4 linked regions of the Oreochromis niloticus genome follow. The protein of the gene in region 2 purifies or fractionates together with the protein of the main gene of each other region. This does not show direct contact. Links are inferred from orthologs where the notes say so. Each region holds a gene or a part of one and is shown on either strand. Other genes may lie near its edges. The genes, in order: ttc27, aar2, ecd and eapp.

Region 1 (6,896 bases), on a different chromosome or scaffold from region 2:
TTCACCTGACGCTCCGACCGGCGGCTGCCTCGGGTCTCTCCTCCTGCCTCCCCTTCCCTCATCCACCTGCTGGCCTCCACCACTTGTTAATTTTACTGAATCTGTGGAAGCTACGCCATGGCCAACACCAAACAACTGAGTTATTTTTACACACCGACCAGCGTCTGGCCAGTCCACCACCAAAAAAATAAAATAAAAAAAATAAAAATCATCGGGCCACTGAGCAAATGCCCGGTATGCCCGATGGCCAGTCCAGCTATGGTCGTGCGTGCCATCAGTTAACCCTTCCGCACGCGTGCCTAGGGTTGCCGACCCCTGCACTAGACATAACTGATAATGTTGTTGTTTAATAAAAGTGTGCAGTTTCAATTTAGAGTATCAAAGAGTGGCAGTTAAACTTTAGGTAAGAGTACAAAAAAACTGTTAGGTAAACAAAATGAATACCTGTACAATAAAACAGTGGATCAGTGAAATATTAAACTTATCATTAACTTCTATTTATAGACTGTAAGCAGCAAGACCTCTCGATCTGATACAAAAACTTAAGGAAAAACAAGTTTTTAGGTACAAACTTTTAACAAGTCCATCTGTACAAGTACGTACATCAAATGAAGTGCATCAAATAAAAAAGAGAGAGCAGTGCAAATTAATTACATCTTCAAATGTGCATTCATCACTTGGCATGAAACCATTGACTGACTTTTCTTACCAACAGTCTGAACACATCTCGCAATGACAGTGCAGGAAGGAAACAGTTTTTTTGTATTCATACCTGGATAACATATAAAGATCATGACAAACAAATTTGCGACACTGATGTACAGTTTTTCAGCTACATTTACTGATTTTCCATCTATGTTTTTTTGTGTGAAACCCCCCCCAAATAAACTGCATATGTAAGCAAGCAGATGCAATGGTGTACAGAGGACTTTTCATTCTTTGTACTGTAGGGCACCTTAGATGCAGCACACTACAAAAACTCTAGAGCCAGCTATGAAGAAAAGGTGTCTAATGACATTAAAGGGAGAGAAACAAAATCTCTCTTTCAGGGATAAAACAGAAACCAATACGACTGTTTCGGGATGTCGCAAAAGATCACAGCACTTAACCATGCCACTCAACCAACAAAGCCCATAAGAAGACAGTGTGGGTGTCAGAGAGACGGACGATGCCTGCACACATCCTGGCACATAGAGCACCTCAGCAGAGCGCAGCGAACCATTTACAGCCCGAGAACAACAGTGGTTTCACTCACTGTGAGCTGTGTCCAATTTAAAGACATATCTATTTCATTTTCAACATCGAGAACGTGTCACACCAAAATCAAATGAGCTACAGGTCACTAAGTGCTTACCTGGCTACAGTGGGACCCTGTAATAAAGAGCCATCTCTCGTTTCCTTCATTGTTTTAGGCTGCTTTATTCCACAGCCTCAGCCTTCCAGTACAACAGAGCATCTGGGGCAAAGTCTGACTATTGCTATGCAGTCCAAACCTAATGCTTTCCTAAATCTTTCAGTCTGGCCATTTTCTTTCAACAGAAAAAAAAATGACTATCATGTTACCTTTAAACTGACAGTGAAAGGATCTTTTATTCTTATAAGAAAAGGTCTTCCAGGAACTGGATAATAGATTTACAGATAGTTGTTGAATATTGTGCTTTAAGACTGCAATATTCGTCCCTACCTTAAGTTTCTTTCATATCTCCATTGACAAATCACTCCAGTTTAATTAAATGCTAATGCACTGTCAATTGCTGCGGCAGAAATAAGACGTGGTCTAGGAACCAACCGTACTGAAGTCACACTAGAGACGGTTATCTAACAGGAATCTCGCAGTCTGGCCATTTAAAGCCTGCTGGTAACAAAGAGAGACCTAGTTAAACAGACAGCACTGTTTAATAAAGGATGTCTATCACTGGGGCTTTCTGGCAGTTGTGGATTAGTTTCAGGGTTCTAAACGCAGCTGACAGATGCGGCTCGAGTCGACTGGACGCAGGTGTACAGAAAGAAGACGTCATGCCAGACTCTAATGATAAACCCTACCAGGAAAAAAAACAACCACGCTAGCTTTAGTTCATAGCTTTTCAACATTACCATCTAATTTCCGTCCAGCTACGTCTCCAGCGAACATTGGGACAATTGGGCGAACTAAAGCTAACGTTAGCTAATGTTTAATTTCTTTTAAATCGACTTCATCATTTACTGAAAATCAATCCCAGTATAAGATTAACGCCGAATAGCTTGGTTACATACTAAATTTTAAATCGCTATACAATATTACAAGACGAAATAGCTACCTCTGCCCACAAGCAATGCAAGTTATTACAGCCAAAAAATACATGGGATTTGGTATGACATCCACCCGAGCGCGAATGACACGTACCGTAGCTAAGTTTGCTTAGCAGGCATTAAATGAACATGAACTCATTTAGACTGCGGCTCTAGCACTCAACACTTTTATTAAGACAACACAGGAAGTCCTGTCAATATCGTTAAAGGTTACACTTAGACCATCGCTGTTACTGTCAAATGCTTCTATATTTTAAATGCTACTTCGCTTGGCAGGCAAGCACAACCTGACAGCATTGAGAACCTGAGACAAAACTAACCTCCTTATGACAGTGTCAATAGCTACGTGGTGAATAAAGGAGCAGAATCAACCGACAGTCTCACCTGCAGTACTGAAAATGTTCTGCTTCCATTCCGCTGCTTCACTGGCCGTTAAAAACCCTCGGAGTGTTGCGATCTCCACGTTCAGCATGACTGAACGGATTTGGTTCTTGCCAAAGTCAAGCTGCCTTCAGTCAGGACGGTCCCAGATAAAAGCCAGCTATAAAGCGCTGTACTAACGAACCGATTCGGAGCGTCTCAGTCAGTGATAAAAATGTTTATTTCTGGCCATGTGGAGCAAGCGACATCAGTGAGCAGCCATGACAGATCCGCGTTGCATTGTGGGAAAACTAATCAAGGCGTGCACAGAGATGCTGAGCATTTCCAGTCTTCACATGGCCCGGGGAGGTGGGGGAGTCTGGGGCAATGTTCCCTCTAATTTTTAATGTGTCTGAGTGAACACACAAACTCCCTGAGCGATCCCCTGGACCACTGTGAGCGACATCAGACATGTGCACTGTGGTCACGCCAGCATCGAGTCCAAGTTACATGGTTTATTAAAATAATCACTACAGCATTTACATTTATTACACTGACTACTTTTAATTAACTGCTTTAGCCCACTTACAATGAAAATGTAAAAAAATCTAGTCATTGACCTGTGCAGTATGTTAACACTATTGGAAGTAAAAATAACTTGAACTTTTTAACTTATATATATATATATATATATATATATATATATATATATATAGCTCTGACTTGTATTATGAGTATGTGGTCTGGTAGCTGCAAAGTTTTTTCCAGCTATTTTTTTTTTTTAATGCAGCCAATGCGCTTTTAAACAAACATTTCAAACTATTTATGTTAAGATATTTATTGTGTGTACTCATGTTGTACAGTATGTTTAGCTGCATTATGGTTACTTTAACAGAGAGAGAGTATTTTAGTTGTCACCACAAGGAGGCACTGTTTCATTGTAAGGGCACGTATGCTGCGTCATCACGCCCCTAAGAAGAAAAACTATACCACAACAAAAATGGCACCCATGAGGAAAGTTTTGCCGCGTGTTTTTGTGGAATAAAGTTCCCAAACTATTAAGGTCATTTTTGCCTCCGTCGTCATTTTCCTTCGAGTTGATCGCTGTCGATGCTGCAATACTCAACAATTTACATTAAATTTGATGCCACACAGATTATTTGTGCCACTCCAAAAAATAATTTCTGTCCACTATGAGATAAAGGAGAACAACAGCCTGATACCTGCAGGCCTGACAACAGGAGATGTATCACTCCTGTAAAACCTGTAACATTCAGCAGTCGCCTCATTGTTCTGACACACACAAAACTATTGACTATACTACACACTAACTACACACTAACTACACAAGATTTGCGCTAAACGTCTCAAATCTCTCACATCTCAGAACACCGCCGTCACTCCTAAAACTTCCCCCCGTTTCTTAACAACTAGATGCCACGTTGCCATATCATTTTTTGATTGGTCGACATGGTACTTTTTTCGACCAATAGAAAAGGGTGGGGGGTTTTTTGGTTTTGTTTTTGCTCACAGGCGGAGAGTGCTTTCGAGCGTTTTCCTTATAAAACGTTGTTTTTACCGTTTCTTCCCGCAGTAAATATAAACAACAATAGTAATCAGGAAGAAAACCAAACATTGCATATATTTTTATCATAACTCTGGCTTTACGTGGCCTATCAACACAAAATCAAAACTGGTATAAAGTCCACACTTTTTCCGTCAATTGTTCCGTCTGTCCTGCTCACATCTCCAATACACATCTCCAGTACACGTTGTCATTAACGTGGCTTCACTCCACATCAGCCATGCCGCTTTGCTAGCTAAAACACCGGTGGCGGCACATAAGGACGCTGTCATAGCCTGTCAACGACGTTGATTAGCTGCGTATATACGAATGTGAATCGCATTATTGGCTAGACTATGGGATAAGGTGGCATCGTTCTAATCCCATACGGGAGCAGCCAGTCACTCACTGACTAACACTGCAAAACAGAATTGTTAAAGTATTAATTTTAATTTCAATTCAGGTTAGATTTTTTTTTTTTTTTTTTGTGCGCAACGCAGATTTTCTGTGCGCAGAGACCGTGCCAGTAGTGCGCAATTGCGCACGTGCGCAGCTTAGAGGGAACATTGGTCTGGGGTTGTTGGGGGGTTTTTTCAGAGATACTTACTTTTTACCTATACACGTAAATGATATGCAACTGACAAAAACGCAGAAAATGACATTCTGAAAAAAGGTGAATTTGTAGGCTCAACTAATTCACCTGGCTTGAAATCCCGTTACTTGAGTAGATTTAGCCGACATTAAACTTTGATAGTCCATAAATACAGTAAACTTGACTTCATAAGTTAATGTGTCAAGTAGTTAAGTGTCAATTTAGTAATATAAGACTGATATTGTAAACATCATAATTTGGAAATATCAAAAATAATTATATTTCATCTTTGCGTATTAGATGTTATTATGGTGAAATTAAATGTTATACATCAGGTGTTACAGATGCATGAATACAAAAAACACTGCAAAAAATTCTATTTTGTACCTGTCAAACTGTCTTGTCTTGGCATTTACGTGTATTCAACTAAAGAAACGAGAATAAATTGTTTAGATTAAATGAATTCTTTACTAAGTTATCAAACAACAGAGTTGTCCAATAACTCAACTCACAATATTCCACAACAAATCATCGCAATACTTTTTTAAAAATAAAAATAAAAGTATAGTCTATAAAGGATGTCACACTGGTGCCAGAAAATAAGGAGAAAAATGTGTTTTTAATTATAATTTTATTTTTTAATAAAAATGTAAATATGTGTGCTGTCCTACCTGTGCAGATAGACAGTGTTGGGAAGGATACTTTTAAAATGTATTCCACTACAGATTACAGAATACATGCCCCAAAATGTATTTTGTAACGTATTCCGTTACGTTACTCAATGAGAGTAACGTATTCTGAATACTTTGGATTACTTAATATATTATTATGCTTTTTACAACTACATGAATGTACTATTGCTGTGTGATTTATTACTTTTACTGAAGGTTACTCACCATAGCAATACCAACTAGATTTTTAAATCTTAATATAAAATGAGTAACAGTAAGGTGGACAATAGGTAAGCTGCACTTTTTGCAGCGATCTCATATAGAAAACTATTCCGCGCGAATATAAAACAAGTCCGCGGCTCCGAACCGTAAAGGCATAAAACCGTAAAGAGACCTCTCGTAGCCGAAAACTAGCTTTACTTTGGGTCAACTTTGTATATATATATATATATATATATATATATATATGTATATTATATATTTACATGCTTCCATCTCCCGTTTCTCTTTTTCTCCCTCCCTGACGCTCACAGACACATAACGGGTATGGCAGTCCATTCTCCCTGCAGCACGGACTACACTGCCCATGAGGCTACATTCTTTAGGACTATGCCTGTAACACTCTGCCTATTGCCTTCATATTAAATCATTTTTGTGAATAATTTTTCAAAATATTTCTTCACGTTGTTATGTGGGCCGCAAGTAGCGGTGACATGGGCCGCGAGATTGAGACACAGACATGAGAGCCTCTTAATGCGTGTTTTGTTTGGGTTTCCACCGGCGTGGACACCAAAAATATAGAATTCATAGCCTTATGAAACAGAAAAATACCGCCGTGTAATCCATTCATTTCAACAAAGTAACTGTATTCTGAATACCACCTTTTAAAACGGTAACTGTAACGGAATACAGTTACTCATATTTTGTATTTTAAATACGTAACAGCATCTGTGTGTGTGTGTGTGTGTGTGTGTGTGTATAAATGTACATATATATATATATATATATATATATATATATATATATATAAAGCTCCTTACCATGCATGGAGGGTTTTACCCCAAGTCCAGCACCCTGAGGCTGTACGCTAAGCGGAAGGAAGGGGGCCGGGGACTGGTGAGTGTCAGCACCACAGTCCAGGATGAGACAAGAAACATCCACGAATACATCACGAAGATGGCCCCAACTGACAGCGTGCTCAGTGAATACCTCAGGCAGCAGAAACCCAAGAAAGAGGAGGAAGGCGAGGAACCATCATGGAAGGACAGGCCCCTGCACGGTATGTACCACCGGCAGATAGAGGAGGTGGCTGATATCCAGAAATCCTACCAGTGGCTGGACAAAGCAGGACTGAAAGACAGCACAGAGGCACTAATCATGGCAGCACAAGAACAAGCTCTGAGTACAAGATCCATAGAGG
Region 2 (7,119 bases):
TAAATCAAAAATTATGCTTTATTGTTTTGATTTGTCTAGAATCAGTCTAGAGTTCAGTCTATGTGGTTGTTTCAATTGTGAAATAAATGCATATTTCAGGCATTTTATACAAGAACTATCTAAAAAGGGCGTTTTCACATTTACAGAATGTTTGAACTCAACACATTAAGGTGTTTTTATCTGTAGCTGTGTTTGTTAAAAACTTTACATTTTTGTGGAATTATATGTTTTATGTCTTCTCCAGATTTGGCTATATCTGTTTATAAACACATGACAGTGTATATAAACTCTTTCTCAAGGATTATATCATGATATGTTATGTAGCCATGATTTTTGTTGTTTCTACATATCTTTTTTGAAATGTGTTTAAAAATACTTTGCAGGCATCCAATAAACAGTTTATAAATAAAGTTTATTGCAAAATTCACTGTTTCTCCCAAACAAGTTGGTTTCTAAGACTTTTTTTTCTTGTGCTGTAAGTTAAATGTCAACTCAAACTCTGACTGCACACTTTGTTTGTGAGATGTGATTTCCCACACTTTCACTTCAAGAGTGACATTCATCCTCCCGAGCAGTTCCCATGCAGGGTCATAGTTTTGACTGCTCTCTCTGGTATTTAATTCCAGTTTTTTACGTTGTAGGCTGACTTTTTTTTTTTTTTTTTTGCTATCACAACAAGCTTTTAGAAAGTTTAAATCGGCGCTTTGGATAAATGCTGCGTCGTGTCTTTCCAACGAAACCGAAAGGATGGAGGCAAATGATTGATTGCAGAAGTTGTCCTTGACTTGATCGGACTGGAGTTTGGTGAAATCCTAAGCCCGGCGTCAGCAATCCATGACGGGGAAGGAAATAGGAGCAGCAGTCAGTTTGGTAATGTTGGAAGCCACGGAAAGCCACATCGGAAGTCTACCCGTCGCCGTATTAACGTCTCCGCCACAGGTAGTGCAAAAGTACTGAAGGGGAGCCAAAGAAAAAAAAAGTGAAAGTTTGGAGCTCACCATGAGCGAAGACGGTCACGACTAGAGATGGGTTTGCTCGTCTGAAGATCCTGCAGAAAAACATGATAAATGGTAAGCGCAGTTTGAACATCTGGTGCGTACTTACGCAGCAAATGAGCTGCTGCTGATGAAGCGTGCACACCGAGGTATATTATTGTGGCTATTTCGACTTTGGTCGAGATGTCAGGTGGCGCAAACAGCTGCAAACAGACAGATGCTTTTAACGCACTGTGCGCCTCAGTGGGAGCCAAATTGAGCGATGATTCATGGCCTGTTTTCCGTGGTTGCGTGTGAAGAGTTGTAACACTGCTCTCTTTTCATAGTGTCTGACTGGAACTCTGCTCCGTAGTGTCCTGGTGGCTGTCTTGTTGGCCTACTCCTGTGGGAAAAGTGGATGTAACTATAAAGAAATACTGGGCTCCTACAGAGAAGTCATCTCCGTTGAACTACAGAATCTGGTATGATAACAAAGTTTATCATAACTGCGGGATTAATTAACTGTGGTAGATTTTTAAAGATGATTGTGTTTTAAGACATCCCCACTAACTAAACTACTATTAAATGCTAGTTCACTGGAATCAGTTGCAGCTGTCATAAAGCTTGTGGAAACTGTGAGTTAATAACATGTGCTAGGCTGCCCTCCAGTGTTTGCTCTTCAAGTAAAGTTCTTTTCCCCCTCTCTCTTTTGGATCACAAGCCAAATAAATGTCTTAAATAACTTAACACTGGGCTGTTTCTTTTGCAGAATCTGGCTGTTTCAGCAAATAAATTTAAAGAGAGAGACCCTTGTCCCTCAGGAAAGGTAAGTGGCACTACATTATATGCACTTTCAGCACCATGGACAGGGTAAAAATAAGAACCTGCGTGGCACATGTTGTACATTTAAGTTTGGGTAAATACAGAAGAAGTTTTCAACCTTTGACTGACATGCTAGATGGGCTATTTCACCTTTTTAATTTTCTACACGTTTGGGCTGTTATCTCATGGCAGGCACGTCGCATCCTGGTTTCCATCTATGGTATGACACAGCAGATGCGGTGTCAGGGAAGTGGCAAAAAGCAGTCTGACCTGGTGAAGCCAGTTGAAAGCATGGAGCAGCTAATTGTGCAAAACTGCAGTCCCCAGTATTTGGTAAGATTACTTTAATGTGCTCTACTGAGCCCCCAGTACCACCACCACCAGCACCACACAGTGAGAAAACAAGCCAAATAGCTCTTGTGCTATTTTCTTTTTCCATGTTTTTCAGGGAAAGAATGCCTCTTGTTCAGCTGTCCAGAAAATACGAGGAAAGAAGAGAAAAAGGATGAGGTTAATCCGAGTTATCAAGGCGCTGATCACTTGCTGGCAAAAACTTCAAAGTGTCTCTGTGCTTTCAAAGTAGGAAATGTATCTCCCTGGTTCCTATAAGCCTGTGCTACTTTCTCATGAAGACATAAGGTGAATTTACACAGTGTTCCTTGCTACAGAATATTACATGTGACCAATCACTGACTGTATTTAGACAGCTATTTTTCAAAAGCAAAGTCATGAATGTTTACTGTTGTCAAGTTCTCAGTGTCTTGTGTATTAAAAGCTACACCAGCATCTGCATGTCAGCATTGCTACTTGTTTTATGGAATAGCTTTATAGTAAGCAAAGATAAGCTAAAGATCGATGCGTTCAGATACTTTTAGAACATTTTAAAAGTTTCTCCTGTTGTACAAACTCTTATGTTTTGTGTTTGCAAGCCACATGTCATCATACCCAAAAATGTTCTTATGTCGGTTATGTAGTTGAGTATATGCCACATAATAAAATTTGTACATGTTTGATTTATACTATTCTGAAGTGACCCTATGCGGTTATTGTAATAATGATAATTATTATTATTAGGGGTGCTATAGGTGTATCAGCTACAATAGACTTTTGTTGCAAGATATTATATAACCATCCTTTTTTCATTATTTTGATTAGGGAATGAATGTTAGTGTTACAAAATGTCATTCAATAAATATTGCACAATGTCTTTATTATAAAGAATGGAAACATATGGAAGCTTGTTTCTGTCAGTCAAGATTTTTTTTATTTTAATTTTATTTTTTTTGTTAGTCAAAATTTTCAGGTGTCTTGAAATTTTCTACTTATGAGAAATCACTCAATTCTAAAACATTTAGTCAGTAACTTGACGTTTTGAGAAAAAAGTTCTAACTTAGCCTCTAACTTTTTTTTTTCTGAGTGATGGAAACAAGCTTCCATAAAGAGGACACAAGAAAAAGCAAAATGTGAATAAAGCAGATATTAATACATGCTGGCGAAATCATTATATTTTAAATAAAGTCTAGCAACAAAAAAAAAAAAACAACCAACCAATGCGCTATTTATTTATCAGTGATCTGCTCTTAGCCACTTTGTTGTTATGGACAGGCTGATAGATGAGGTGAGGCAGGAGTCTCTGTGTACTGTGATGTTTGTAAACGACATTGTGATCTGTAGTGAGAGTAGTGAGCAGGGGGGTGAGACCCTGGAGAGGTGGAGGTTTGCACTGAAGAGGAATGAAAGTCAGAAGAAGCAAGACAGAATACATGTGTGTGACTGAGAGGGGGTAAAGGTGAGGATGCAAGGAGAAGAGGTAATGAAGGCGACAAATATAGGAGGTGGCAGAGAAAATGTTAAGATTTTCATTTGTGGTGACTAGGATGGACAAGATTAGAAATGAGTCTACTGGAGGGCCACCTTACGTTGAGTGGTTTGGAGACAAAGTTAGAAAGACAAGGCTGAGATGGACATGCGCAGATACAAGAAGGAAGAGGAAGGAAAGAGGAAGACCACAGAGATTCGTGGATGTAGCGAAGGAGAGCATGCCTAGGTTTGGTGAGACAGAGGACGATGCTGGGGGAAAGGGTGAGATGGAGGCAGATGTTCGCTATGGCGACACCTACAGGCAGCATGCAAAAGACGAAGTGCAAATATAGATAATATACAATAACTATACACATACACAAATCATATAATATATCTATATAGTTATTCTATTATACATAAACGCTTGATAACATTTTAAATATATTAATTAATGTAGTTATTTATAGAGGGGAAATTAAAAGTAGACGGACACAAATGTGTTTCATGGTACTGTTTCCGTCCGGAGCAAGAAATTTGTGGCACAACATCCACCATACGAACGACTCGAAACGTCAACAGCTGGATGTATGAAGTGTGGCTGTGAGAAAGGCTATTACACCGAAGATACTAACACAGTGTAGCTTTAAATGTTTTTGCCATATTTTTCAGTCATAGAGAATCGCATCTATTGAAAGCATTAGCGTCAAAGCAGCAGCGGCTCTCTGTGTTAGACCTTTTGGGGAAATCCGTTTGAGTGATCTGCATTTAACAGGTGAGAGCTGAGTTTAGTTATTTAATTTGTTAGTAGATTCACGTTAAGTACCCCTTAAAAGACATGGCCAGCAGCAGCAGTGGTAGTGTGGACATGGATCCAGATGTTGCCCTGAGGCTTTTCGAGGAGGGAGCTACCCTCGTGCTGCTGGGTGTTCCTCAGGGTACAGAGCTCGGAATCGACTGCAAGAGTTGGCAAGTGGGTCCTCGTTTCCGGGGTGTTAAAATGATCCCCCCTGGTCTGCACTTCCTCCACTACTGCTCGTCAGGCTATGGAGGACAAATTGGCCCGAAGACAGGCCTCTTCCTCTCTCTCAAACCCAGAGAGATCATACTGGCCAACTGGGACGCCAAGGAAGAAGATCTGGACTTCTCAGCCTCCAAGAATGAAGAGGAGTTGAGTCGGGTTCGTGCCAGCTTGCGAGAGCTGGATCCTTACCTGGGCCCCTATCCCTATGAGGTGATGAGGAAGTGGGTGTCCCTCACTGACCGTATCAGTGAGGAAATGGCCAAAAACTTGCAGCCTCTCTCAGGTCGGGTATGTGCATTCAGTGACGTGATTCCCGAGCTTCAGTTCACACACACTAAAGACAGGGCGGAGCAGCCGAGGAATGACACGGCCTGTCAGAGCATGAAAGAGGGGCTTGACAGGCTCCCCAAGATGAAACAGAGGGAGGGTACGGAGTTGCGCTTCTCTGTCATCCCTAAGAAGACCTACCCTCCCGGGGCTACGCCGGCTGAGATCACCAAGTGCAGCATGGACCTGAGCTACGCCCTGGAGACGGTGCTGGAGAAGAACCACATGCAGGAGGCTCTTAACGTGCTAGGTATGTATCACATTTGTTAAAAATGGGTTACTCTTGGATTCATTATGCAAGAAAAAGTACTGACATTTATCCCCTCTCTCAGGTGAGCTGCAGTTTGCCTTTGTGTGTTTTCTCTTTGGAAATGTGTACGAGGGCTTCGAGCACTGGAAGTGCCTCCTCGCTCTGCTGTGCCGCTCAGAGGAGTCCATTCTGAAGCGCAAGGACCTCTACCTGGGGCTCATCGCCGTGCTCTACCACCAGCTTGGAGAAATACCTCCTGATTTTTTTGTTGACATTGTATCTCAGAACAACTTCCTTACCTCCACGCTGCAGGTACATGCACAAATCAGACTATAGTGTTTGTCACTTGAGGCTTCTTTATATACAACTAAATAATATATATTCATCTCACTGGTGCAAAATTTATTTTAGATGTCCACCAAGATGTTGTGATATTAAAAAGTTGAAAAAATGTGTTGTGCAAACTAATCTTAAGTAATTTAGGTTCCATTAACCAGTATCACACTTTTCAACCACCAAGCCAGAAGATCAGGCTTTTACTTGCTCCTTGTGTGACTTTATTGGCCCACAAAAATGACAGTTTAATTTCAAGATTATGCTATAGGAACATATCATCATTTATTAGTAGATTCAAGCTTTGTATTCTGACTACATTGTGATCTGTGGACAGAATTAGAATAAATAAACAAATGGAAGTCAAAGCAGCTAAAAACATTGTTTTTCTTCGCATTCAGTCGATCATTTCAATCAGCTCTCTTCATGGGTAAATCGGTCATTGGAAACACCGTCACTGGTCCAAATGGGTCAGCAGCTGGGCTATCAACTTGCCCAGCAGAGTTTTCTGCTGGCCTTGGGCCATTGGCCTGTTGGTTATGTTGAACCCTGCATTTGTTCTACTTAAACCCCAGTGGGGATTAAAGTGCACAGCAAGCCCAGGTTAAAAAAATTATAAAGATAAGATATCTTTATAAAATTATAAAGATAATAATTCCCATGCAATGAGAAAGGGATGTTTTAATTGCCAATGCCTTGAATACCTTTCACAACACTATTTTTATTTGGCTGGTATCTGAGGACAGGTTATAAATCAATCCGTATAACATACGTTCATAATCCTGAATGATCTCCACGACACACAGAAATGTTTGCAAACAGAAAATGGGCCACAGTATCAAAGCATCACTTGAATTGAATCACATTTACAGTTACCACTTTATAAAATTGTTGAATTAATTTTTTGTCACAGGATTTTTTCCAGTTTGCCATTGGGCCTGGTGTAGATGCCACCCTGCGTAAGAGAGCAGAGAAATTCAAAGCCCACCTGACCAAGAAGTTCAGATGGGATTTCGATTCAGACTTGGACGACTGTGAACCTGTTGTGGTGGAGCTGCCTGAAGGTGTTACAGTCGACTGAAACTACTCAATGGACTCTGTGCTCACCGAGAAAAAGGAACACAGAAGGAGAGCCACAAAGTATCTTATGCTACAGTCACACTAGGGAAAACAGTGGGTGGAGACGACAGCACGGCCAAACATTTTTGCAACTGACTGATCTCATTGGCTTTAAAATAGTTGCTTTGAAGATGGCGACCAAGTCTGTGATCACTTGCAGACAGCCGCTATCTTTAAAGTGGCTTTGGTGATGGTGATAAAATGTCAATACACACAAATTCACATTATGTACTTATATTAGGAGTGCAACTATGGCCTCATAGATTTGAAGCATAAATTCAGACATTTCTGCACGAATGGTAACGCAGCTGCTGCAGGATGATGATTCCAGCTGCAGAGTCACATAAGCTTTTGGCAGCCTCACATTTAAATTAGCAGCTGGGAAACAGTTGCAGAGAGATGTAGTGAAGTCTGGTTCTGACTCAGAAGGATTGTGTTGCGTTGAATCTGTTTGTGTTTATGAATTAGAC
Region 3 (6,936 bases), on a different chromosome or scaffold from region 2:
CCAAACACTTGGTTGATAATAAAGACTGTTCTTTAATGGAAAACAAGCAGATTAGTTGGTGTGCTGGATGGCTGTGATCCTTGATAATGCCGTGGGCCTTATGCAGGTACAGCTGGAGGTAGATGCCCTTAATGGCTGGAGGGCTCTTGCCAGTCATTTATTATGGAATAAGCCTTTTTCTTTAAGCTCTGACAGCTGACCGATGAGAAAGTCTTTACAGACAACCATTTTAAGTAATAAGTAAAGTTAACATTCCTGTTTTTTTTATTTAAAATGAAAAATATTTTGACATACAGCCCTTGTGTTGTGAATCGCATTTCAACGTATCAGTAGGGAGGTCTGAAATGAAACCAAAGCTTGCCTGGGGATCAGTTTATAACTCCATAGTATGCTGTGGGAGGCAGTGAATTATTTGGGCTGAAACATACAGTGCTTCCAGTACTGTCAACTCTGCCATGTCATGTGGAAAACTCACCCTGTTTTCACTTGTGTCTGGATTCAGCCACTTAGGAAGGTAATCTGCTGCTTCAATCAGGAGAAACTCCCCATCATTATCCTCAACTCTGCACATATAAACAATTATTTTGGAAACAAAGACATAAATGACTGGTGAGCATTTCAATAGTGTTTATTTATTTATTGATACCTTTGTTTTATTATTTTGTGCAAACTCTGCTCTGAGTTTATAAATATTTAGAAACTATGAGCAGGATCACTATTACCTTGCTGCAAGCTCAGGGAAAGCCTCTGTGATTTGCAGCAGGAGATAAACGATAAACCACTCGTCCTCAACATTGTCTCCAAACTGAGTGCTTCCACCAATGTGAGCAGGAATGCCACCTGTGAATGAGATCCATACACACCAGCCATTAGTGTGTGTACCAAGTGTTAACCACGTAAAGACAAACAATGTGCATATCTAAACTGCTTCCTTTCTGGGGTGCTGAAAAGGTTCTACCTTTCTCAGGGTGATACTTGAGGTTGAATGGCTGATGCTGCCAGATGTACTGTATCAGAAGAGGGGCAACCTTTGCCAAAATCTCCTCTACTAGATGTGTCAGACGTTCCTCAGTCTTCTGTGAAGAAGAGCTGCTTGGCTGGATCAAGAAGAGCTTGTACTGGACCATGTCCTCCTCAATCATTCTCCTCTGCAGAGCCTCCATAGTAGCAGTTTTAAAAGACCTAACAAAAAGATACGACGCTAAAGCGATGTGCAAAGACATATGAAAGGTCGTCAATGTCTGTTTTTATATTATGACTTTGAGGGAATCGTTGGCTTCTAGATAAACTCAACGTATTACTAGTGATTGTCACGACAACCTCTTGAAAACTTAATTTGGCCTTACCTTGTCTTGTCTTCCTTTTAAATTGGCTATGTTGTGTTAGTATATTCTGTAGCGGCTCTTATTACGGTTATTCATAAATACGTTCTTTCACGCCATCTGTAACTATTTAGGTCCTACGATGAATTCCAGTCGTCCTCGCCAAACAGATAATAAACAAAGTTCCTACCTTCTGTTTTTGTTTTTACCGATTCAAAAAATACTTTACATTGTGATAAACGCACATTACATAATAAGTCTAATTTTCCACTAAATTTGATAAATATACACCTTGCATTTAGTTAAAATTACAGGACCGGCGAATACATTTTATAAACGCAACATGCTATTGCAATGAATGCTGGGAATTGAAGTATGCAGCCTTTGACTTTCAAGAAACATTTAGTTGGCCTGAAATACATTTCCCACGATCCCTCGGGGCAACGAAGCTGCGTATCCATGACAGCCGCTGTATTTTTGTTGTTGGTGGTGATGCTAGCTTTAGCAAAGAATATCCTATGCGCTGGCGATAGCTCCAATAACGTTAAACACTCATTAAAAAATATATATATTCCTTTATATATATATATATATATATAGGGAGAGAGAGAGAGAGAGAGAGAAACGTAAATTATAGTGAACTTCTGGGCTACATAATATGCTCATTTAGTAAACCAAGAATTATTTTATGAGGGAATGTGGAAATTGTACGATGCTATTTGTGCCTTTTTCTTTTTTTCTAAAAATAATTTGGCCACCCTTGTACCAGTAGCTAGCTTATTTTTTTGGACGTAGCTTAGCTGCAGCCGTTAAGGAACAGCCTCTCTATCCAGAATATCTGCGGGCTAATATTAGAGGAAATGTCAGAGCTCCATCTGAACCGTTCCCTGAGCGTCCTGGAAGTGGAGGCGAGGAGGAGAGGAGAGGGTTTGAGCATATAATACGGAGGCAAAGGAGAATGATTTCACGATACAACCGGAGACCTGTATCGCACAAACTCGAGATGTGAGTAGCTGACATCATTTCTTTCTTTTTTTCCTTCCCTAACGGTTATTGAATGCTGCTATTATTCATTGGAGGGGGATTTGATGATTGACTGCTAACCTACACTAGTGACAGAAAGAGTAAAAATGATTATTTGTGTTGATCGATGTGGTGTTATTCCAGCTTGCCCGGGGTCTGTTTTAGACAGATGCAGTGTGAACATGGCAATCAGCTCATTTTAGATGATTGTCACATTTTTATTTCATACCACCCACTCTATTTATTTTCTCTCCAGAGAAAGTTGTCAAGCCATAAGAATGAAATGTAGACATTTATTTAACGAGATTAACTCAATTAGAGATACAAAACCAACACTATGGGAAGATACTATGGAATCAAGTGTAATCACAGTGTAATGTTTAAAAAACACATAATCTCCAGCTGTTTTCACTGGTGTCTGTTTTCTTCATGTCATCTTGTCATATTACAGTGCAGCGAAAAAAATAGACAAATATATGAGTAAATATTAAACAAAAATATTTCAACTAAACGCGAAATGCAGTTTTTAAATGATTTCATTTATTTGGGGGGGAAAAACCTATCCAAACCTACCTGCTCCTGTGTGAAAAAGTCTTTACCCTCCCTTGTTATGCCATAAATTAACCACATTGTTTGGAAAGCTGTGTTCAATTTCACTAGACACACCCAGGCTTGATTACTGCCAGACCTGTTGAATTAAGAAATAATTTAAGTAAGTGGGTGAAAAGATCTCAAAGGATCTCAAAAAGCAACACACTGAGCTACAATCTACATAAACTCAAAAACAGCTGAGAAACAAATTCACTGAATTTTTTTATTCTGGAAATGGTGACAAAGCCATTACTAAGGCTTTTGGAAAACTGCAGGCCTCGTATGTCTCAGTTAATATCAGTGTTCATCATTCAACAACAACAACAAAAAAAAGAAACTGGGCAAAAATGGCATCCACGGGAGAGGTCAATGGCAAAAACCACTGCTGACCAGAAAGAAACGAAGGCTCGTCTCGTTTGCCAGAAAACATCTTGGTGATCCCTTCATGAAGACTTGTGGGAAAAAAATCTTTGGACTGATGAGACAAAAGTTGAACGTTGTACAAGGTTTATGTCCTGTTTTATCTGGTGTAAAACTAACTCAGCATTTCATAAAAAAAACTGCCAGCAACATTCAAACATAGTGGTGGTAGTGTGATGGTCTGGGGCTGCTTTGCTTCTCAGGACCTAGATGAAGCATAATTGATGGAAATATGAATTCTGCTCACTACCAGAAATCCTGCAGAAGATTGTCTGGCTATCAGTACGTGCACTGAAGCTCAAGCACAGTTGGGTTATGCAGCAGAACTATAATTCGAAACACACCAGCAAATGCATTCTGAATGGAGGTGACAAATTAAGGTTTTACAGTGCCCTAGTCAAAGTCTGAACTTAAATCTGATTGAGATGCTTTGGCATGACCTTTCATGCTCAAAAAACCACCAGTGTGGCTGAGTTATGACAATTCTACACAGATGAGTGGGCCAAAATTCTTCCCTAGTGAATTTTAAGCATTGCCTGTTATCGCAAACACAAACTCTAAATTGCAGTTCTTGCTGCCAGGGGTGGCACAGCCAGTTATTAGGTTTAGGGGCAATTATTTTCTTCACCCACTCACCCATCCATCCATTTAAAAACTGCATTTTGTATTTACCAGAGTTATTTTTGTATAATCTTAACATTTGACTGGTGATCTGAATCAGCTATCAGGAAGGGTGGCAAATAGTTTTCACAGCACTGTGTATGTGCCATAAGTTCATCAGTGACTATAATAGGGACTCTACATCTGATTTCTTTAGATCCATCGTAATCTGCTCTGACCTTATCATTCCCTTTTATAAAGGCTGTGTTTCTCTGACAGTTGCTCATTGCAAAAATAATTTTAATAAGACTCATGGTGATGGAGCTTTTGCACACCTTAGTCGCACCCATAGTTTTTTCTATTCTATTTCAACACAGTGTTCAGATTCAGACAGGGTAGTTGGAGTTGACATATTAATATCCTTCCCTAGCATCCCAAAATGCAATTGCACACTCTTTTGTTGATTGCTTTTTCACTGAATGCTCTAAATCTGTCTTTATTGCAGTCGTGGGTTGTCTCGAAGCAGCCTTGACCACCATCCTCTCCCAGAAGAAGCAGACGACAACCAAACCCCTCCGAGCTACCTCCATGACCTGCAGGAAGCTGCTTCTGCACACAACAGGTAACAGCTTGTTACAGTATTGTATTGAAATCTGTGTGAGAACAAAGACAGTGGTACTTAAGAAACTCTGTGCTCAAATAAGTGCCTAGAGTATGTTACAAAATGACTGCAGAGCAGTCAAGCCTTGCTTCTTGGCTGTTATGTAAGCAGACAAACCTAAGCAACACCAGAATAAGGCTGAAATAAAACAGCCTGCAACCAGTCACACATACACACATTCTCATGCTTGTGTATTTTGTAATGTTACACCATCTTGAGCAGACAACTGATTCTCAGGGCTCTTGCTATGTGACACCCAGAAGCAGCGGATTAATTCATATCACATTGCCTCCTTCAGATGCGCAGTTAAAAGAATAAAATATGAGGCAGCCTGTTAGAATATTCAATTGCCTTGACATTTGGCCTTCACTTTCCACCTTGATAATATCAGCAGCTGACACCAGTTCGATTCCCTCAGCGGAGTAACAGAGACTCGGCTTATTCTTCAGATTACACAAGTTGTTGGTTCTTCCATTTCTTCTAGTACAAGAAAAACTGATGAAAAGAGAAATCGTGTGCTGAAAAGAAAGAACGAGTGCTAGAAATACAAGACACTTCATATATGGGAATTTGGTTCTTCACGTTGTTTTTACAGCCAGGGTACATAACTGTTTTGTCTTTGTGCTTAGCTCAGAGACATCTGCTGCCTCAGGCCACTCTCAGTGCCCCACTGTCATCTCAGTAGACTCCAGCCAGTCCTGGTTAGGTATTCACAGCTCCACGGGTACTGGCATCTCCACCGAGAGGAGCTCTGTTTTCTCCTGGGGCTACGATGTAAGTCTGCTCATGAGAAAACTATTGATGCCAGCCTGACTCTGTCTGTAAAACAAAGGATGTACACACTGTGCACACTAAAACACTAGATATGTTGTTTTTCATTTTTTTTCTGTTGTCTTATTATAGACACAAACACATTGCTGCAGTCCTATGTTAGATTTTCATTTAGTTGCTAACATTTGCCTCTTTTTCACAAATTTGTGGAAACATTTAGAAGAAGACAGATGAACACAATATTTATATAGTATAGTGGATGCTTTGTTTGTACACACAAACTCTGATTCTGCTTTCTGGTTTGTTGTTATGTCGTGCTTTCTCGACCCTGCTGTTTCTACAAAACTTTTTCGGACTCAATGATTTATTTAGTTTTTTTGTTCTCAAGTTGCTTCTGAGAAGCAAACCCTCTCAGTTAAGAGACATTCTCTTAAATATACATCTTTCTCCGCTTTGATCTTTTTTTTAATGACATGAACAACTTGACCACAAACACTTGAATGCACCTCAAGAGACTAGGAGCTAATTATCATGCACGTTGATGCTTGCATTGAATAGTGATATGTTGCCAGTAAGTAAAAGGCGGCACCTTTAGTCGTGAAGAATAACTCTCTTTCCTATGTTCCTGTTTCCATCCCATAGGAGTTTGACAAGGCAGCATCACGGCAGGTGCAGCAAATGTTTGAGGAGATCGACAAAGATCTTTATGAGGGAAGAGGCAGTGGGGGAGGGATACTCCAGGGGCTCCAGGATGAATGTCAGCAGTGGGCCACACGTTTCCCTCATCTTCGGTATCTAATTCGCTGTCTCCTATCAGCAGCCAGCCCTTTTTAAATTCTCAACGAAATGGGGCAGCAGTGGGATCAAAGACTAATTCTGATTGTGGAGAAAAACCTGTTAAAGTGTTCCATTCTTCTACAGAATCACACTTGTTTTACATATTCATTGTGTGTGTCACTCAGTATCCTGGGGACTCAGCTGCTGTGTCCCAGTGATGAAGGCTTCCAGTGGTATACTACCTCAGGGAAAGGCAGCGCTTCCAGCAGGCCGTCAGCGGGCAAAGAAAGCGGTGTGAAACCCCAGGAGAAAGATAGGGAAGGAACAGAGTAAGTCTCAAAGTCCCAATCTGCACTGAGTCGATACATAAGGTTAGAGATCACTTGTTGCATCTCTCTCAGATATACGAAGATATCTCTGCGTGTGTGAGTGGTATCTCACCATCTGATCTAACGTTATCTTGGAGGGTGCAGTTTCGATAGCATCTTAGGCTGTTATGTTTGATTTGTGTCCACATAATTATGGCTGATATGTTATCGCTTTTATCATTCTTGGCTGAAGAAGATTTCAGGAATGTCAAACATTACTGAGAACAGCCTGTCACTGCCGCTTAAAATGGACATTGCATTTTGCTTAATCAGTCAGTCTTCAGCTTTTACTCTGAAACAGCAGAGACAAGAATTATCAGCCATTACTGTCAATAAACTCTGTTAACACTAACTATGAAACAGTTTACAGCAGTTATGTATGCTCAAAGCCCAAAAGAGCCAT
Region 4 (7,550 bases), on a different chromosome or scaffold from region 2:
TGTAAAAGTGAAAAACTAGGAACTTCACTAGAACTGAAGAAGCTTCTTGGATGAGAAGTGAAAAGTCTTCAAGCAACTTAAAGAAGACCAGATGCTTTTCTTTCCAAGCTCCTTAGACTACGATGACCTGGATTACTGAGAACCTTCACAGACACACAGGTGATTATTTTAACATATTTTCATTAAAAATGCTCCAAACAACAACATCACAAACACTGTCAGCTCATTCAATGACTAGAATTAGCTAAGATTAAGCTTAACACACAGCTTTTGGCTATAGCTGCCATCTAGAGCTGGGCGATAAAACGATAACGATATGTATTGCGAAATAACTTTTTCTCGATAGAAAAATTAAACTATTGCGATAGGCCTCATCTCTCTTGTCCTCTTAAAAAAAACAAAAAAACAACAGCCAATCCAAATTAAGTAGCGCAGAGCCGAACCAATCACAGCCGCAGCGTCACGTCACGTGACTTGTTACGTACAGCACAAGCGCCAAGGCGCACATGTGTATTTGTTTTTGCAGCCGTGCAGCCCAGGTAATGAAGGAAATGAGTTTGCCGACTAGAGAAAAATCAACCGAGAGCGTGAGCGAAGGTTACCAAAGAAAAAACAGATGATGGTTCCAATGCCGGAGAGCTTGTCGAACGGAAGGGCCACAGAAGTTCCGTAGTGTGAAGGTATTTCGGCTATTTCAAGTCTGACAAAAAACAGAGTAGCGCGCACTGTAAATTGTGCCGAAAGCAAGTCTGGAAATACAATAAAGCGGTGCATGCTCAATCTCTGACTGAAAGCGCTAATTCGTCATTCGGCTTTTGTCAGACTAAAGTAACTGTTAAAACTGTTTGAAAAGCTAAGCTATACAACAAGGAGAGATTGAGAATTTTCTTTTAGTTCTCAGTTTATTTGATATTGACAAAAGTTAGTCAATTTTGTCTGTTCTTCTGTAAAACAACCTAAGATTTATTTTTAGAATTAATATTTTGTTTCTAAGTGGAATTGACAATTTAGTAGTCTGTTTTGTTTGTTCTATTTTGAAACTTAAATGCTTTAGCGGCTGCGTTTTGTGTAGTTTGCAATATTTGCCTTTATTTATCTGAAACTGAAGTCTCATGTTCCTTAAGTACATCTGCCCTGTTAAACTTATTATGGGAAATAAATATTTTAATTAAAACAAGCTGCTAATTATTTCACATTTTACTTGTGAGCAACGGCACATTTAAATCTTACAAATATAGTTATTTGGCTTATATCGTGAAATATATCGTTATCGCCTGAAATGAAAAAAACATATCGTGATATGAAAAAAATCTTATATCGCCCAGCTCTACTGCCATCTAATCAGTTGATAGCAAAGTAATTCCAGACATATCACTATGAAAATACAAATACTAGCAGCTGAGTGTTACCTGCTGCTGGTACCCAGGTTCCCTGCATGGTCTTGATGGTGGAGCTGAGCTCTGCCTCCATCTCTTTTTCAAAATCATCCTCGCTGGATGACTCGCTCTCCCCGGTTAGATACTCTCTGATCAGCTTCTTTTTCTGGTCCGGAGTCCCGTTCAGGAGCACGTCCAACTCATCCTCCGAACTAAAACAGAGAGAAAGATTTCAGAAAAAAAAACAGACTCTCAAACCCAGGAGATTACTAAATTGAAGTAACCATTCATGTGTTATTCTGCACATGTGACATTATATCATGTGGTGGCATCGTATAGTGTTTAACAGACCAAATAATTAAGCACTTAATTTTGGAAACCATTAATCCACGTCGAAACTGTCGCTTTAAGCTTAGCTCAAAACCAAAATAAGTTGCCTGTACTCACTAAATCCATCGGTACATACATATTTGCTGCTTTAATAATGAAATTTCATATCTTCAGGTAGACAAGTTCTTTTGAAGTTTTGGACTTCTGATTGGACACATCAAGACGTCTCAGGACATCACTTATAAATATTAATAATTATGACGTCTTGCTTAATTTTCTCTAATTAAGTGCCATAATAATAAATCCAGAAAATTCTTGGCTAATTACGGCAATAATAAGTATCTGCACTCGTGTTTTTATTTTCTTCTCATCCGCTTGCCTGTAACATTTAGACTTATAAAAATCTGCCGCCTTTCTATAATCAGAATCAGAATACTTTATTGATCCCTAGGGGAAATTATTTTTCGTTACAGTGCTCCATTATAAACAAACACTAACAAAGACAGACAATACACCAACTAAGAATAGCTGAAAAGAACATGTGCAAGAAGGGTGTAGCTGTTGCAGTAAACAGTGTGTTAAGTGGAGGAGTTGTACAGGGAGATGGCCACAGGCAGGAATGATTTCCTGTGTCGTTCAGTGGTGCTTTTCGGTAATCTCAGTCCCCCACTGAACGTGCTCCTGTGACTGACCAGCATGTCATGGAGTGGGTGGGAGGTGTTATCCAACATTGTCTTTATCTTGGACAACATCCGCCTCTCCGACACCACCTTGAGGGAGTCCAGCTCCATCCCCACAACAATACTGGCCTTACGAATCAGTTTATCGAGTCTGTTGGCATCTGCGACCCTCAGCCTGCTCCCCCAGCATGCAACAGCATAGAGGATTGCACTGGCCACAACAGACTCATAGAAAATCCTGAGCATCATAATCATAATTAATGATAATTAAGCAGTAACATCCATGTCACGTTAAAATAAATTCACCGCAAAGAGCGGCTCAGCGCAGTCTCCCTGCTATTCCAGTTTGTTTACATGTTAGCTCCCAGCTAGCTATCTCCACTTTAGCCTAATCGGCCCCTAAAAATAAACACACGTATTATCCTCGCACCTGCTGGCGGCCCGCTCTTCGTCGCTCGGCTCTTCGATCTCATATGACTCAAAGTCTTGTGCTTGACCCAGCTTATTCATTTTAAATGTTTGAGGAGCTTCAATTACAATAGCATGAGGTGCTGATAAGTTAGCAACAACACGCCAAGTTGCTTCTTCCGCTTCCGCTTCTTCTTCTTTTGTGTTTAATAAGGGGTTGGTAAGCGGTACTAAAGTCCATTACCGCCGTCAACTGGGCTGGAGTGTGGGACAGGCGCTTAGGGAGGAATATAACAAAAGGAGAAAAAAGGGGGGAAAACTTCCCTTCAGTCTCTTTAAAACTTTTTTATGTTATAAAGTTTTATATAGAGTCGCCAGCAAAGCACCCCCACACTATCACACCTCCTCCTCCATGCTTATAGAGACCATCCGTTCACCTTTTCTGCGTCGCACAAAGATGGAAGCATCTCAAATTTGCGCTCATCAGAAAAAAGCACAAATTTCTACTGGTCTAATGCCCATTGCTTGTTTTTCCTAGCTCCAAACAAATCTCTTCTGTTTGTTGCTTTTCCTTAGTAGTGGTTTCTTAGCAGCTATTTGACCATAAAGGCCTGATTAGCACAGATTTGTCTGCTACTGGAACTCTCTTTTCCAGACTGACTGTACTTCAGTTCTGAAAGTAATGATTGACTGTCATTTCTCTTTACTTAGGTGATTGGTTCTTGTCATAATATGGAATAGGGTTGTCACCTGTGTGCCAATCTGACTTCTGCACAACATGGTAAATGGTAAATGGCCTGTATTTATATAGCGCCTTAACAGTCCCTAAGGACCCCAAAGCGCTTTACATATCCAGTCATCCACCCATTCACACACACATTCACACACTGGTGATGGCAAGCTACATTGTAGCCACAGCCACCCTGGGGCGCACTGACAGATGACTGATGGTTCCAACCCCATTAAGCAGGCATAGCTGGTGCTGTGGGAAACGCAAAAATCTCACACTCCAAGCCCCGCAACATCACAAAAAGAAATTTGTTTCTTCACAACTTATTCAGTTTTAACTGGTGTCATATTACATTGATTGACAATGTTGATTTAGCTCGGAAATATTTCCAGGAGAGTTTTATCTGCTTTGTGGACAAACATGCTCCCTTTTGCCAGGTCAGAGTTAAAGGTCGGGGGAGCCCCTGGTTCAATTCTGAAGTGGCTGGTCTCCAACATGAGAGAAACCAAGCCTGGGCAGCTGTGAGAAAGTCAGATTCTGATGGTGATTGGCTATGTTTTCATCAGTTGCGTTTACTGCGTTTATGGTTTACTGCTTCCATCAAAAAGGCCAACTGTGGCTACTTTTTGACTTTAACCACTGACAGTCTAAATTACCCTAGGAGGTGAGGTTTTGGCAAACTATAAAGTCTCTCTCTGCCACAGAGCTACCTCCTCACCTAATTATCAACTCCACTCCTGTGTCAGACAAAACCAAAACTCTCAATTGTTGTTATGAACACTTTGTTGCCTCTTGTTCTGTTTAGCACATACATATATAACTCTGCTTGTAGTTCATTGTTTACTAATACTTTTCCCTTTACACTCTTTATGGTAGAAGAGGGATGTAAGGCTTTGAAATGCCTTGACACCAAAAACGCCGGTCTTGACAATCTGTCTCCTTTCTTCTTGCTTCTAGCTGCAAATATCATAGCTGAGCCAGTGTCTTATATTTTGAATCTTTCTAAACAACAGAACACTTTACCAGAGATGTGGATGCATGCCTTTGTACTCCCCCTACTGAAAAGCGGGGATTCTTCAACGGTTAATAATTACAAGCCAATTTCCAAACTCTGTATCTTAGCTAAGATTCTTAAAAGGCTAGTAAATAAAAAGCTTAAAAGTTATCTGAATGAAAACAGAATTTTATCTCCTTTCCAGTCTGGTCTTAGGAAACTGCAAAGTACTGTAACTGCTTCCCAAAAAGTTTTCAGTGACGTCTATGAAGCCTTGCACGCAATAAAAGAATCTATGCATTTTTATGCAGATGAGTTCTTTATTATTGTTCTCGTACCATCGACATGGTTTTCAAACAATTACAGCTAGTTCTTGATAGTATTCAGTCACAGTTGAGTCAGCTCAGACTGGTTTTAAATGCAGAAAAAAGCAAAGTCAAACAGAAGTCTCAAACAGAAGGAGGGTGATGGCAGTACTTTCTTTTCTTGTATCTGCTCAAGGCATTTCCATTGGAACTATGGCCTCATACAAATATCTAGGTATTGTGTCTGATAAAAATCTTTCCTTTAAGCCACACATTGACCACCTAATAAAGAAGCTGAGGCTGAAGTTGGGGTTCTTTTTCAGAAACACATCATGTTTGTCTTTCACAGCAAGGAAAAGACTTGTTGCTGGCACTTTTTTTACCCCTCCTGGATTACGGTGATACAATTTACACGAATGCCCGTGCTCACTCTCTTCATCTGTTGGATTCTGTCTATCATGTGGCATTAAAAATTATAATTGGCTGTAAACCTTTAACACGCCACTGTACTTTATATTCTCTTGTTGACTGATCCCCATTGGCCTTACGCAGGACGGTTCATTGGTATCACTTTATCTATAAGTCTGTTTCTGGTTTATTGCCCTGTTATTTATCAGAGTACATGTTATGCAAACAGTTTATTCATAGACTGTGGTCTCAGGACGTCATTACATTCACTGTTCTATCAGTTCACACAGAGCTTGGAAAGAAGGTATTCTTCTTTTCTGCCCCGTGTTCATGGAAAACATTACAGAAGGATTTGAAGCTCTCTCAACTGATTTCACTTGCAGACTTTAAAAGACGTATAAATGTTTTTGTGAAATCATCACTGGGAACTTGTCTGCCTTTGATATGACTGTGTACATTAGACAAGTTTAGCTATTTTATTGTTTCTGTTATTGTTGTAAGTTTAATATGTTTGTCTGGAACAGGTCTCGCTTCTAAATGACACATTGAGTCTTAATGGGTCTACCTGTATAAATAAAGGTTTAATAAAAATAAAAATGTAAACACAATATTCAGTTTTTAAATGATTTTATTCATTCAGAAAATACAAAAAGCCATCCAAATGTACCCAGCCCTGTGGTCAACAAGTAATTGGTGTGAGACTGCTTTGCTGTTGGATGACCTGGACAATTCATGACCATGACCAACCATGAATTCTGCTCTCTGCCACAAAATCCTGAAGGAAAATAGCTAGCCACTAGCTTGTGCCTTGAAGCTCAAGCACACTCAGGTCATGTAGCAGCACAATGATCTGAAACACACCAGCAGCTTCACCTCTGAAAAAAAGGGTTTGGAGAGGCCCAATCAAACTCGGAACAGTTTTATGACCTTAAACAGAAAACCCTTCAATGTGGCTGAAGTAGAACAATTCTGGAAAAAAGAGTGGGCCAAAATTCCTCTACAGCTTTGTGAAAGACTCATTGCCAGTTATCACAAATGTCTGATTGCAGTTCTCGCTGCCAAGGGTGGCACAACCAGTTATTCTGTTTAGGTGGTAATTACTTTTTCACACAGGCTTGGATATGTTTTTTCCTTAATAACTGAAATCATCATTTCAAAACTGCAGTTTGCATTTACTGCGTTTTATCTTTGTCTAATATTACAATTTATTTGATGATCAGAAACAAGTGTGACAAATACACAAAAACTAAAAACTTCTTCACATCACTGTATATTACCTTAGAACATTTGTGCACTCAAACAATTTTTTTTCCAGGTGAGGAAATAAATTATTAACAGTTAGTTTCATTGGTTGAAATTGTCATTTCAAGAGTTTTTCATGTAAGAAAGCCATGAAAGTTGACTGCATCACTGATACTGGAGGTGATTCTCAGGAGCCAGGTTTTGATGGTGATGCTGGCATGTAGTGCACCATCTTTTGTGGTCAAAGGACATACTGGAAGATCTCTCAACACCTGTCTCTTCTCTGTTTTGATGTTGTCCATTAAAGCTTTGGTAAGTATTGGTGAAATATTCCATGATAACATTTCAGAAGAGTTTCATCCTGTATTTATGGATGGCGTGGTGATCTGTGATTTCAGTGACAGAATCATGCATGTTTTTAATGCCACGTGAGAGCCCCAAAATCACCCAGTGTTGACCTTGTCCCTTGCACACAGATTTCTGCACATCAGAATCTTTTGATGATATAATGCACTTTAAGAGATATTCAAAGTGTTTTTCGTTGGAGAGAATTATTCTGAAGTTTTTCCATAATTTGTTGACATTCTTTTTCTTTTTTTTTTGCAGAAGAGTGAAACTCTGCCAGTCTGTACTTCCAAAAAACCCCCGCCTCTCTAAGATCCTTCTTTTATACCCAACCATGTTACTGACCTGTTGTTATTTAACATAAATGGCAGTAAAATGTTCCCTCAGCCGTTTGTTTGTAGTGCCACTTACTTTTCCAACCTATTCCTGCTCTTGCCTAACATTTTTGTTTGAGCTGAAAATGAATTGATTTTTTTTTCTAAATAGTAAAATTTGAATTGTCAATAAAATATGGATTTGTAAGATTTACAGATCATTCTGTCTTTATTTATATTGTGCTAGTGCTTTTGGAAGTAGGGATGAGCCGCCACTAGGTGGAGCCAAAAGATCAGACATGTTGTTTCAGAAGCTCAGGACAGATGTGCTGATGAAGGCAGACACCATGAGGTGCTATTAGGAAGGAGGATACACACAAATTCATCCATCCATCCATCCTCTTGTGCTTGTCCTGTC

Evidence for each region.
Region 1: the proteins of aar2 (region 2) and ttc27 purify together in Homo sapiens (affinity purification with mass spectrometry; 3 studies listed by BioGRID and IntAct, with this or other methods). This does not show direct contact. The link is inferred for Oreochromis niloticus from reciprocal best matches to the Homo sapiens genes AAR2 and TTC27.
Region 3: the proteins of aar2 (region 2) and ecd purify together in Homo sapiens (affinity purification with mass spectrometry; 3 studies listed by BioGRID and IntAct, counting the BioPlex papers as one, with this or other methods). This does not show direct contact. The link is inferred for Oreochromis niloticus from reciprocal best matches to the Homo sapiens genes AAR2 and ECD.
Region 4: the proteins of aar2 (region 2) and eapp purify together in Homo sapiens (affinity purification with mass spectrometry; 4 studies listed by BioGRID and IntAct, counting the BioPlex papers as one, with this or other methods). This does not show direct contact. The link is inferred for Oreochromis niloticus from reciprocal best matches to the Homo sapiens genes AAR2 and EAPP.

Annotation. Positions count from the first base shown.
Region 1 is NC_031978.2:32,722,947-32,729,842, reverse strand, and holds the start of ttc27 (tetratricopeptide repeat protein 27), read right to left. Parts: upstream 3,008-6,896; 5' UTR 2,762-3,007; coding exon 2,674-2,761; intron 1-2,673.
Region 2 is NC_031984.2:16,024,503-16,031,621, forward strand, and holds the start of aar2 (protein AAR2 homolog), read left to right. Parts: upstream 1-4,113; 5' UTR 4,114-4,434; coding exon 4,435-5,197; intron 5,198-5,279; coding exon 5,280-5,509; intron 5,510-6,443; coding exon 6,444-6,611; 3' UTR 6,612-7,119. UniProt on the Homo sapiens protein: Component of the U5 snRNP complex that is required for spliceosome assembly and for pre-mRNA splicing.
Region 3 is NC_031978.2:12,752,108-12,759,043, reverse strand, and holds the start of ecd (protein ecdysoneless homolog), read right to left. Parts: upstream 3,003-6,936; 5' UTR 2,919-3,002; intron 2,328-2,918; coding exon of another isoform or gene 2,281-2,327; exon of another isoform or gene 1,775-2,280; intron 1,669-1,774; exon of another isoform or gene 1,347-1,668; intron 1,202-1,346; exon of another isoform or gene 1,183-1,201; 5' UTR 1,164-1,182; coding exon 959-1,163; intron 841-958; coding exon 723-840; intron 564-722; coding exon 476-563; intron 1-475. Other genes in the region: protein FAM149B1, read left to right, coding at 2,281-2,327, 4,462-4,578, 5,247-5,391, 6,031-6,179, 6,351-6,494. UniProt on the Homo sapiens protein: Regulator of p53/TP53 stability and function. Inhibits MDM2-mediated degradation of p53/TP53 possibly by cooperating in part with TXNIP. May be involved transcriptional regulation. In vitro has intrinsic transactivation activity enhanced by EP300.
Region 4 is NC_031983.2:4,398,478-4,406,027, reverse strand, and holds the start of eapp (E2F-associated phosphoprotein), read right to left. Parts: upstream 3,008-7,550; 5' UTR 2,897-3,007; coding exon 2,817-2,896; intron 1,589-2,816; coding exon 1,410-1,588; intron 1-1,409. UniProt on the Homo sapiens protein: May play an important role in the fine-tuning of both major E2F1 activities, the regulation of the cell-cycle and the induction of apoptosis. Promotes S-phase entry, and inhibits p14(ARP) expression.